3 linked regions of the Rattus norvegicus genome follow. The protein of the gene in region 2 purifies or fractionates together with the protein of the main gene of each other region. This does not show direct contact. Links are inferred from orthologs where the notes say so. Each region holds a gene or a part of one and is shown on either strand. Other genes may lie near its edges. The genes, in order: Psmg1, Pomp and Psma6.

Evidence for each region.
Region 1: the proteins of Pomp (region 2) and Psmg1 purify together in Homo sapiens (affinity purification with mass spectrometry; 4 studies listed by BioGRID and IntAct, with this or other methods). This does not show direct contact. The link is inferred for Rattus norvegicus from reciprocal best matches to the Homo sapiens genes POMP and PSMG1.
Region 3: the proteins of Pomp (region 2) and Psma6 purify together in Homo sapiens (affinity purification with western blotting; 4 studies listed by BioGRID and IntAct, with this or other methods). This does not show direct contact. The link is inferred for Rattus norvegicus from reciprocal best matches to the Homo sapiens genes POMP and PSMA6.

Annotation. Positions count from the first base shown.
Region 1 is NC_086029.1:48,752,120-48,755,775, forward strand, and holds the start of Psmg1 (proteasome assembly chaperone 1), read right to left. Parts: upstream 2,922-3,656; 5' UTR 2,896-2,921; coding exon 2,759-2,895; intron 1,341-2,758; coding exon 1,234-1,340; intron 1-1,233. UniProt on the Homo sapiens protein: Chaperone protein which promotes assembly of the 20S proteasome as part of a heterodimer with PSMG2.
Region 2 is NC_086030.1:12,200,720-12,204,367, forward strand, and holds part of Pomp (proteasome maturation protein), read right to left. Parts: intron 3,468-3,648; coding exon 3,366-3,467; intron 1-3,365. UniProt on the Homo sapiens protein: Molecular chaperone essential for the assembly of standard proteasomes and immunoproteasomes. Degraded after completion of proteasome maturation. Mediates the association of 20S preproteasome with the endoplasmic reticulum.
Region 3 is NC_086024.1:78,524,254-78,527,901, reverse strand, and holds part of Psma6 (proteasome subunit alpha type-6), read right to left. Parts: intron 2,822-3,648; coding exon 2,666-2,821; intron 1,272-2,665; coding exon 1,093-1,271; intron 1-1,092. UniProt on the Homo sapiens protein: Component of the 20S core proteasome complex involved in the proteolytic degradation of most intracellular proteins. This complex plays numerous essential roles within the cell by associating with different regulatory particles.

The sequences.
Region 1 (3,656 bases), on a different chromosome or scaffold from region 2:
AGCAATCATGAGATCGCCCGTCTGCCTGGGGGCTGGAGAGACCGTTCAGAGTTCACTCTGACAACTTCTCTTGCTGTGCCTCAGTTTGGTTCCCAGCATCCAGCCCTGGTGACTCACAACCGTCTGTAATTCTAACTCTGGGGATCTGGTGCCCTCCTCTGGCTTATGCTCTTGAGTAAGCCCACACACAAAAATATGCTCATAATTAAATTTTGTTGTTGGGTGTTTTGTTTTTCAAAACAAGGTTTCTCTATGTAGGCTTGGCTGTCCTAGAACTCCATCTGTAGACCAGGCTAGCCTTGAACTCATGAAGTCCACCCATCCTGCCTCCTAAGTACAGTATGGATTAAAGGAGTACACCACCATACCTGCCATAAATTTCTTTTTAAAATATTATAGACCATCCAACTGGACCACTTTGGAGCAAACAAAATTTGAGGCTGAGGAGTGAAAGTCTACACTCTCCACACAAAACTACAAACAGGGACTGGAAAGGCAGGCGACAATGTCTGCAGAGTTTGTACTAGTCTCACAATGGAACACTCCTCTAAAACAATTAGGCAAGCAGACCTTTATATAACGGGTGAGCCTACTGTTACTTACACAATCTCTAAAGTCCTAGGGCTCACTTACAGAGCAAGAGCTCTTAACTAGAGTTCCCAAATGATTTCCTCAGAGCCTGTTAACCCACTGAAGTTACAAAGGTCTCCACGTGTACTGACATACAACACTGTTCCAAGCAAACTCACATTATTCCACTTTCAACCTACCAGGTCAATAAATGCATTCAAAGACCTTAGAACTGAAGTGTTCCAGATGCTTACGATTACTGCTAGACGTGTGGACACAGCAGGCTGGAAAACGGGGCCTAGAACTGTAATTCTGAAGCTAAGCGTATTTCCTTTAAATCTCATTACAAAGATGGAAAAACAGGCAATCTACCTTACTTGAAATGACTGTGGCTGTTTAAGACAGGGCCTTGTGGAGCCCGGCTCGGTCTTGGAACTTCTCCGTGCTCCCATCTGCCATCTCCCGCCTGCTGAGGGCTAGGGTTGCACAGCGCCCAGTTCATACAGTATTGGGATTCGAACCCAAGGTCCTGTGCTTCATAGGCAAGCACTGTGCCACCTGAGCCACACGCCCAGGGCCTGCTGGGATCCTTTTAAAATACATACGAGATGTAGGAAGAAACATTCTTCCAACAGGACGTCTACCCCTGACACTGGCGCTTACCCGTGGCGTTACTTCCTACTGCAAGGATGAACTTGGAGCAAGGGTGCTTCTCTAGGAGCACAGCCTCCAGACATGTTTCTGTCTGTCTTCGGAGAAGCTTCACCTCCCTGACAGCAAGAGACAAAAGTAAACAAATGTCACTCACTGTAACGACCGTCACACTGGAAGAGATGGTAATAGAATGACAGACAGACAGATTAAGAGAAAAGTGACAGATGCTATATAGAACTGGATGCACACATAGATGGAAGACAGATGAGATCGATGGTGGACAGACATGCGACTTATATAGATATGGTAGGCAGGTGCAATATACACAACGTATATACACAGATGGGTAAATAGGTAGGTGACAGAAGAGAGATGAGTGGATAGCTGGATTGATAGATGGTATTAGATAAAAGAAACGGTGTCCTGGGTGGCCTGGCGAATGGAAATACTGTAGGCTCAGGCAATGACTACTCACAGACTCAATGAGTAAAACTACTAACAAACTTCATACAAGCATCTCAAACACTCCTGCCAGCAAAATGCTTAACGTGGCCAAGTGTCCAAACAAACGTTGAAGCATTTAGTTGTGACAAAAGCAAGTGAAGCCTGACCATCGGACAAGTCGAGGCTCTCGGGAAGAGTTTGAAAAGGGAGAGGGGACCCAGAGCTAACCCTGTAGCACAGCTTTCAGTACCCAAATCCTGACAGGAGAGAGCTGGTCACCCAGGGGTGTTGACACAGAGGCTTATAGGAGGATCATGCCACAGTCAGAGATAGCAACACCAGCTAACACCAGAGAAAACCAGGTGAGAGGCAAGTGCAAGAACCAAAAATGAGGGGGGGTGGGTAGGTGGTGAGGGGGTTGTTGTAAATGAAACAGAGTGCCAAAAGTGTCTGTAGTTGACAGAAATCACCAGAAAGTATATTTTAAAAATCTAGGTGAATTTGATTGTGAACTGGTATGACACTGAAAACTTATTAGCATATCTGGGGCAGGGAAGGTGCTAAGTTGCCACCACAACCATGACGACCCAAGTTCTGATCCCAGAACCCACCTAAATGTCGAGAGTGAAGGTTCTGGGAAAACAGGATAATCTCTTATGGTCTGGAGGTCAGCCAGTGAAGCAGAAACAGTGAGGTCTGGGTTCAATTTAAGATTTCTCAAAAAGGTGGTAAACGCCACCGGGCACCCAACTCCAACCTCTGGTCCAGCAACAAACAAACAAAATAAATGAATACGCATAAAGACAGCATGCTTAGGAAGAGTTTCCTAACTGGAAACTAGTAGGGGTGGTGTGAGAAAAAATGGATGTGGTAAAACCTTGGCCAAGGGGCCGGCATAACCTCATTTCTGTGTATTTAACAGTAGTTTTGCAAGAAATACGGCGGACACGCGGCGTAACCTAAAGCGTAGGGTGGAGGGAGGGCAAGCATTGCTGGGTTGTCAGCGTCCCAGCGTGAACGCAGGGCACTCGGCAGGCCAACACCGCCTGATGCTCGCCCCGCCGGTGGGGAGGCCTTCCCGGAGCCTGACCTCTTCCGCGCAAGCTTCCGCCGGACCTCCCGGTCCTCCGGCGTGTCCCGCCTGCTCTGCTCCTCCTCCTCTTCCTCCTCCTCAGTCCCAGCTCGGCATGGCCCCTTCACCACCTCACCAAAGAACGTAGCAGCCATGGCACCTCAGCCCCGCGCGGCCAGACGGCGCCTGCGCGCCGGCCCCAGCCACGCCCTTCAGACCACGCCCCCGACCCGCCTGAGCCAGGCCACGCCCTCAGCCTGGGTGAAGGTCTCAGAACTTCCGGTCCGCCGCGGGATCTGTTCCGCGGCGCGCTTCCGTCACCCTGCTGACCCGGGCACGCAGGGCCCGCTCCACATCCCGCCGCCCGCCTGCAAGGACCCACCCGTGGAGGAAACCCAGAGCTGCGAGTGAAGCACAGACAGCTCCAGGGGTGATGACTGCAAGCGGATCCAGAGGACATGAGTGAAGCTGCAAGGCTAGGCTTTTTAAAAACCTGGCCATGTGTAACTCATATACACTGTTTTCTTTTTTGGTTCTTTTTTTCGGAGCTGGGGACCGAACCCAGGGCCCTTGCGCTTCCTAGGCAAGCGCTCTACCACTGAGCTAAATCCCCAACCCAGTTTTCTATTTTAATGACAGAAAGAATGTGTTTTTCTGGCTTGTGTGCTGGAAGACAAAAAAACTCTACCGAATACTGCTCTCACAAGAGCAAACGACTACGAGGAAAAAGGAAACTGGGACCTCAGTGGGAAATAAAAACACATTCTAGATTTACTTGCGAGGAAATAGGGTCTGCCTTGCCTAAATAGGGTCTGTTTAGTAAAATATAACTAAAGTAAGTAAATATTTCGGGATCGGGGACGTTTTAAAATCAAAACTCTTGGGAAGTTGTTTAAAATCTCTCACGATGTAGAAA
Region 2 (3,648 bases):
CCACTGCCACCATATAACCCGCATGCCCACTGCCACCATATAACCCGCATGCCCACTGCCACCATATAACCCGCATGCCCACTGCCACCATATAACCCGCATGCCCACTGCCACCATATAACCCGCATGCCCACTGCCACCATATAACCCGCATGCCCACTGCCACCATATAACCCGCATGCCCACTGCCACCATATAACCCACATGCCCACTGCCACCATATAACCCGCATGCCCACTGCCACCATATAACCCGCATGCCCACTGCCACCATATAACCCGCATGCCCACTGCCACCATATAACCCGCATGCCCACTGCCACCATATAACCCGCATGCCCACTGCCACCATATAACCCGCATGCCCACTGCCACCATATAACCCGCATGCCCACTGCCACCATATAACCCACATGCCCACTGCCACCATATAACCCACATGCCCACTGCTACCATATAACCCGCATGCCCACTGCCACCATATAACCCGCATGCCCACTGAGTCTTTCTGTTGGGGAAGAGAGCACGCCCGGAGCCCACCTCGCTCCAGAGCAGAGAGACCAGGCCCCAGGAGGATCCAGGCGAGTGAGAGTCACTCTCACCTGCCAAGGGGACTGTGTGCTCCTCTGAGCTGCTCAGCACAAAGCTAAAAGGTAACCTTTGAAGATACAGTGCTAACCAGAAATGCAGACCAAACCCACTCAGGGGGACTCTAAAGTCACAGTGTCACTCCAGCAACAGGCAGGTATGGACTGGAAACCAAATGAAGCACGGGGAAAGGTTCACAAGCTGTGCAGACAGAAACATCTGGATTCACAGTCCATGATGATCACTGACCAAGCCATGGGGGAGGGGGACAGGCTGTGCAGACAGAAACATCTGGATTCACAGTCCATGACAATCACTGACCAAGCCATGGGGGAGGGGGACAGGCTGTGAGACAGAAACATCTGGATTCATAGTCTGACGATTACTGACCAAGTCATGAGGGGGCGAGTGGGGACGGGATGGGCTGTACAGACAGAAGCCATGTGGATTCACTGTCTGACAACCACTGATACAGCTCTCTGCAGGTTACCCGCCTGAAAGACCGCGCACAGTCAGGGCAGCCACTGCCGCTTGAACATGGTCATACCCATCGCCTTTATACTTTACCCAGAGTACTAGGTGATGAGCAGTGAGTGACGCCGTGACCGAAACTAATCCTGTGGTCAGTGTCTGCAGAGGCAGTGACAGGGGGACCGACCCTCACTACTCAGAGTGAGGGTACTATTCTCAGTTGCCAATAGCCTATAAACGCTACTTAGTCTTTACAGTGTGGAAAGAATTCTCCAGCTGTCATTCAAAACTGAAAAAGGAAACATGGAGAAGAGAGAAGAGGAAGAAGCAGAAATAGAAACGGGAACCTCTAAGTGGAGGAGAGTGCAAAGGATCCGGGAAGCAGAATCAAAGGTGGGGCTTGCAAAACACAATGATGGGGATCAGGAAGGCAAGGAATATACATTAGCAAAGATTTTTGACAAAATGGTATTAAAAACTCAGGCTGTCAATTTTACTAGCGATATCCAGCTCAAACCCAGGCAAAGACAGGAGACGAGGGAGGCGAAGAGCTGTGCCAAGCCTGACAACCTACACTGTTCTTCCACTTCACACCGGCTAGGAATTGAGGGTGGCTCGCAGTTACGAACCAGCTGCTCTTCCAGGGAAAACAGGCTAGCTTCCCACCACCTATAGAGGCTAAGAACCGCCTGTGAGTCAGTTCCTAGGAGATCTGGTCCCTGTGATCACTCTACACACAGTGCACAGACACACACACACCCACACACAATAAGACTAAATAAACCATAAGCAACAACAAATGTGCTCAGACTGCTACTCTCAAGTTGCTAGACTAGTTTAGACTGAAATTTAGATTAGTCTAAAACACTCAGACTCGGCCATTCTCACTTAAAGCCATTTTAGAGCAGTATTCTCGCAAAGAAGTACTTCAAGTAGCTTCCAGAACTACAAACCTACAAAAACAACGGCACTCACAGCCCTGCTGCAAGACTCAAGTCCAGCCAGGCAGAGAAAGGGTCCGTGGTAGCAGGAAACAAATACACGAAGTCCAAAGAGGGAGGCCAGGTGCCAAGGCATTAGGTGCCTGGGTTTTACCTGGAGGGCAAAGTGAGGAGTGTGACACATCGAGGTGTTTACAGTCATGGTGGGGGTGGAGGAGCAGGGAGATCTGGTAAGGACCAGGGGTGGGGGCCACAAGGCACCAAGTGAGGCAACCAGAGCTAACATTCCATCATCTGCCTTAGGTGAAACCTATTTACCCACAAGGAAGAATAATGAGTTATTCTGCACAGCCCGGGAAACCCAAGATGCCTGTGGGCCTTCCAACCAGAAAAGCAGGTCCGGAGAGTTAGAGAAAGTCAACAGCACTGAGTAACCACGAAGGACAGGCAGGAAACAGGAGGGAGAACAAAGATGGCCTCTGGCACCACCAGCATCTCAGGTGACAGACAGAAGGAACCACAGAGCTACAAATGGGTTTCAGAGAGGAAGGGGACACCAGTCTGAGGTCTACAAAAATACAGAGAAAAGGAAGGAGCTTTGAGTGTCAATCCCCCGACCCCCTACAAAAGCACACGTGCACACGTGCACACATGCGCACACGCCCTGGGAACCAGACGACACCATCTCAGAGGAGAAAGTAAAGTACAGACACGGGGAACAATGGCTTCCAGCAGGTGAACCTGGACAAGCTGACAAGTGAGGAGAGAAGTGGGGGCGAGGCGTGCTGGCACACCCCTTTAACCCCTGCACATAGTGGGCATGGGCAGGCAGGTCTCTGGGAGTTCAAGGCCAGCATGTTCTACAAAGCATGTTCCAGGCCAGTTAGAGTTACGAGGTGAGAGAAAACCTATCTCAAAAGTAATTATTAATTAATTAGGGATTGATACAATTTTACCACAGGATCTGAATGTAGGTAACAGCTTCTAAAGAGCCAAAGCAAGGAGAGAAGAAAAAGGTGTCTGCAACAGGCAGGGCTGCTGGCAAGGACCTGTTCCCTGAGGTAGGGTGACGCAATGGGGCCCAGAACCCAGGCGGGACATCTGCACAGCTACTCCTTAGCAACAGGCACGCCCAGCTGTGCCCGCACGGCTGCCCGCAGAGGGCAGAGAAGCGCAGGCAGACAGCTGCACTGTGCTCAGACACTGTATCTATGACGTGAAGCCATTTTCCACGTGACAACTTTTCCCTTATGAAGCAGTAACAAGGGTCATGTGCTACAGAGGGAGGCAGGACAGGGTGCTCAGAGGGTAAGGTCTGACATCTAGCACGAGAACATGAGCACGCGTGGGACAGGGACAGACTCACCTGCTGCACAGCCTTGAACTCCATCTGTAACTTCAGGGGAGCAAACAGGCCCTGGATGTTCCTCAGGGTGGAAAAGTTCATCTTGTCCTGGTTGAGCTGGAACTGCAGAAGACAGAGTAGCTCTAAGCTAAAAGCTTGCTGCAGAGCAACGTTGTTTTAAAAACGCAACACTGACAATCCTGAGGCCAAGAGTTGACATCCCTCTGGGATTTAAAGTGTTCATTTCTTCCTGACAGGTTTATAACACTGTATCTCTACATCTGTGTGTGGCAATGTGTACATG
Region 3 (3,648 bases), on a different chromosome or scaffold from region 2:
TGTACTTATATATAATAAATAAATAAATCTTTAAAAAAAAAAAAAAAAAGTTGGTCTGTTTGAGAAAGGCCTTGCTTTACAGCCCTGACTATTCTGGACTCACTACATAGACCAGGCTGGCCTCAGGCTTACAATGATCCTTCTGCCTCCGTCTCTTGCGTGCTGGGATTACATATGTACACCACCATATCCGTATAAAAAAGACTTGTATGCGGGTGTCAATGTCAAGGACAGCCTTAGGAGCAGGGTTTCTCACTGGCCTGAACTAAGCGTGGCTGGGCTGGCCAGCAGTGCTACGATCTCAGCATGTGTCATGGTAAGTAGGTTTTGTTTGTTTGCAATGAAGGTTCTGAGGTCTGACCCGAGATCCTTGAGATCCTTGAGCTTACGAGATAAGCACTTACCTGAGCTCTTTCAGCCCTCTGCTCACATATTCTTTTACTAAGAAACACTTTGCTCTCCAAGAACTTGGTTTGTAGCTGCTTTTATTTAGGACTATGAAAATAATTATTACTGGATCAGCAAGACAGCTCACTGGGCAAAGGTGCTTCCTGCCAAAGCTAACTGGGTCCAATCTAGAAGTCCTATGGTAGAAAAGAACTGTCTCCTGCAAACTGGTCCTCACTCCTATGAGTGTCGTGGCAGATGCGCACACACGCACGCGCGCGCACACACACACACACACACACACACACACACACACACACACACACACACACAAATAAATATTTTTTTAAAGAATAAATGTTAACAAAACAATATTACCAAATCTTAGTGGTTATACTTGTTATCCAAAAAGTTTAACCCAATTTGAGTCTACTAATCATATAACCACACCAGTCTTTGAGTCTAGTCTTATTTCCCTATTTTGTGTTTTTGAAGTTTCCCATGAAGTGTGAAGGTAGAGATTAAAATGAATAAAGCAGTCCCCCTTCCCCCCATGTGAGCTGAATGATATCAATTCTACCATCAAACTAGCACACCTGGATCTGTGACAGTGTTAGGAAACAGCTTTCGTAGCCTATCAATAACACAATGATGCTCACTCTCCCAGAGCAGGGAGAGAAGGTCCACGCCTTCCGGCTGACTTACTTCCACTGTCTGTTCAAATGTCCAATCAAATTTCTTCTTCACTTTTTTTTCGAGGAAGCTGGTTGACTCTGTCTGCTTCACTCCTGCTGCGGTGGCTTTAAAGCCACAGTAGTAGCCTGCAGGATCACACTTGTACACTTGAGGGCCTTGCTCTTCATCTATACCAATTAAAATCATACCTAAAAAGGAAGGGCCAGTTAAATATATTATGCTGTCTACAAAAATTTCCCTTTTTGGTGTTTCATATAGTTGCTGTTACTCATTATTTGGTCACTAATTTTAGGTTTATTTGTTTTCCCAAAACCGTTAAAATGTGCTTTATTACCAGTGACAGATTAGATAGCAGGCACATTTCTGTTTTGAGAAAGGATCCATCAATTGCCGTTATTTTACACAGGTTCAGCTTTCACTGAACTTGTAAGAAGTTTATTCAAAGAGACCAAAGCCCATGCCACCCCCAATCTCCTCAGATCCCTCTTTCTTTGCTGTAACAATCAAAATTCATTTTTAGAATAATTCCTGAATACAGAGGACAGATTTAGAGAGAGAAGGGACAGAACAAATAAATAAACCAGATAGGAAATAAAGGCAACAAGGCAATGAGAAAACAACAGGAGACAGGAATAGATACTCTGAAGCAACCCTCTGCCGATCCTTAATTACATGACCAGGGAGAGTAGACTGAGACTATAAAGGAGAAGCTGAGGATGCGTGTAGAACAGGAATGACTCAAAGGTCCTGAGAGATGGGAGGGATGGTTAAGAAACCAGGTAAATGACCAGCATATAGGTAGTAAGTGAAGCCCTCAAGGGGGTGAGATTAATCAGACAGCAAAGAGGAAGACAAGGTTCAAGAACAAAGCTTGTAAGTGACAACATTTAAGGGACCAATGGAGGAGCAGGACAAAAGGAACTGAGCAGAAGAGAACATTAGGAGCCAGCATACCTGTAAGCTAGTGCTTGGGAGACTGAGGCAGGAGGATCACAAATTTGAGAAAAGCTTGAACTACTCAGTAAGAGTAAGGGGGGATGGGTATGAAATCAGGGACTGGAGAGATGGCTCAGCAGTTAAAGGACACTGGCTGTTCTTCTAGAGAGGATCAGGGTTCGAGTCCCAACAATCAACCATCTCAACTCTAGTTCTAGGGACTCGATACCACACACAGAAATACAGTCAAGTTCCAGGACAACCAGGGCTACACAGAGAAACTGGAGAGGGGGAGAGGGGAAGAGGGGAAGGGGAGAGTGGGGAAGGGGGAGAGGGAGTAAGGGGGAGAAGGGGCGGAGGGGGAGGAGACAAACCATATCTTTACTCAGTGATCAAAAGTGGCATTGACACTGTTAAAATGCCTGAAATTACACCAGAACCCCATTACAACAGCCTAATAAAATAGAACTTTCAAATCACATAGCCTAAATAGAAATATTTTGATTAAAAAATGAATAGAACTCAAAAGCTGTAATTTCAAACTTCATGTTCAGAACTCATGTGGCCTCAGTTTCTTTATACATGTTCTCTAAAGACAATTACAACTCCTTAGACAGTTCCTTAGAAGATTTCTGAGCATACTTACAACAACCAAGTGGCCTCATTTCAGCATTCTGTGTGTAGACTTGAGAAATATCAGCAATTCTTTTACACAGCATGTCCACAGGAATCTCATAGCCATATTTGTATTTCCAGTTAGCTGCTTCATAGCGTGCCCTCTGTACCTGGGATCTGCTGTCAGCTTGAAGGATAAGCATAACCCCAAAGAGTTACCACTTTAGAAATAGAATGAATCTAAAAGCCTATTTCTCCACCACAGATATCTATGTTTATGCCAAAGACACGTTATAGTAGGACAAGGGGTTCTCTGTGGCTTTTTCTTGTGATAACGAACACTGAGTGACTTGGCTTGGAGTACATGTAACAACAGAAAGAAATTAAAACCTTTAGCTAATTTTTATACCATACTGCTCTTTTATACCAAGCCTTTCACCAGCAGTCAAAATAGTTTCTACAAGAATCCAGTGCCTGAGCTGTCTGGATGGCTCAGCAGATAAAGGGGCTTGCCAGCAAACCTGATGGCTTTGGGTTTGATCCCCAGGACCCAATGTGGTAGGAGAAAAACAACTCCCATAAGCTGCCCTCTGATGTCTACACATGCTTTCACGACACATTATGTGCACAAATAAATGTAATAATAAAAAAGTCTAATAATGGCCAGGAGCTAGTAGCACATGCCTGCCTTTAATCCTAGCACTTAGGAGGCAGAGGCAGGTGGATCTGAGTTCAAGGCCAGCCTGGTCTACCATGAGAGTTCAGGATAGACAGAGCTACACAGAGAAACTCTGTTTTGAGAGAGAGGAAAAAAATGTCTAATGACTCAAAGAATATACTTTTTAAAAAAGTTTCACGAGAAACACTATTTTTAAAAGATTTACTTTAATTTTATGTGTACCATGTGTGCCAAGTGCCCCAGAAGCCAGTAGAGATCATAGACAAGGGGATTATGTGCTGCTATGTGGGTGTTGGGACTGAACCTGGGTCCTTTGTAGTAGCAAGGGATATTAA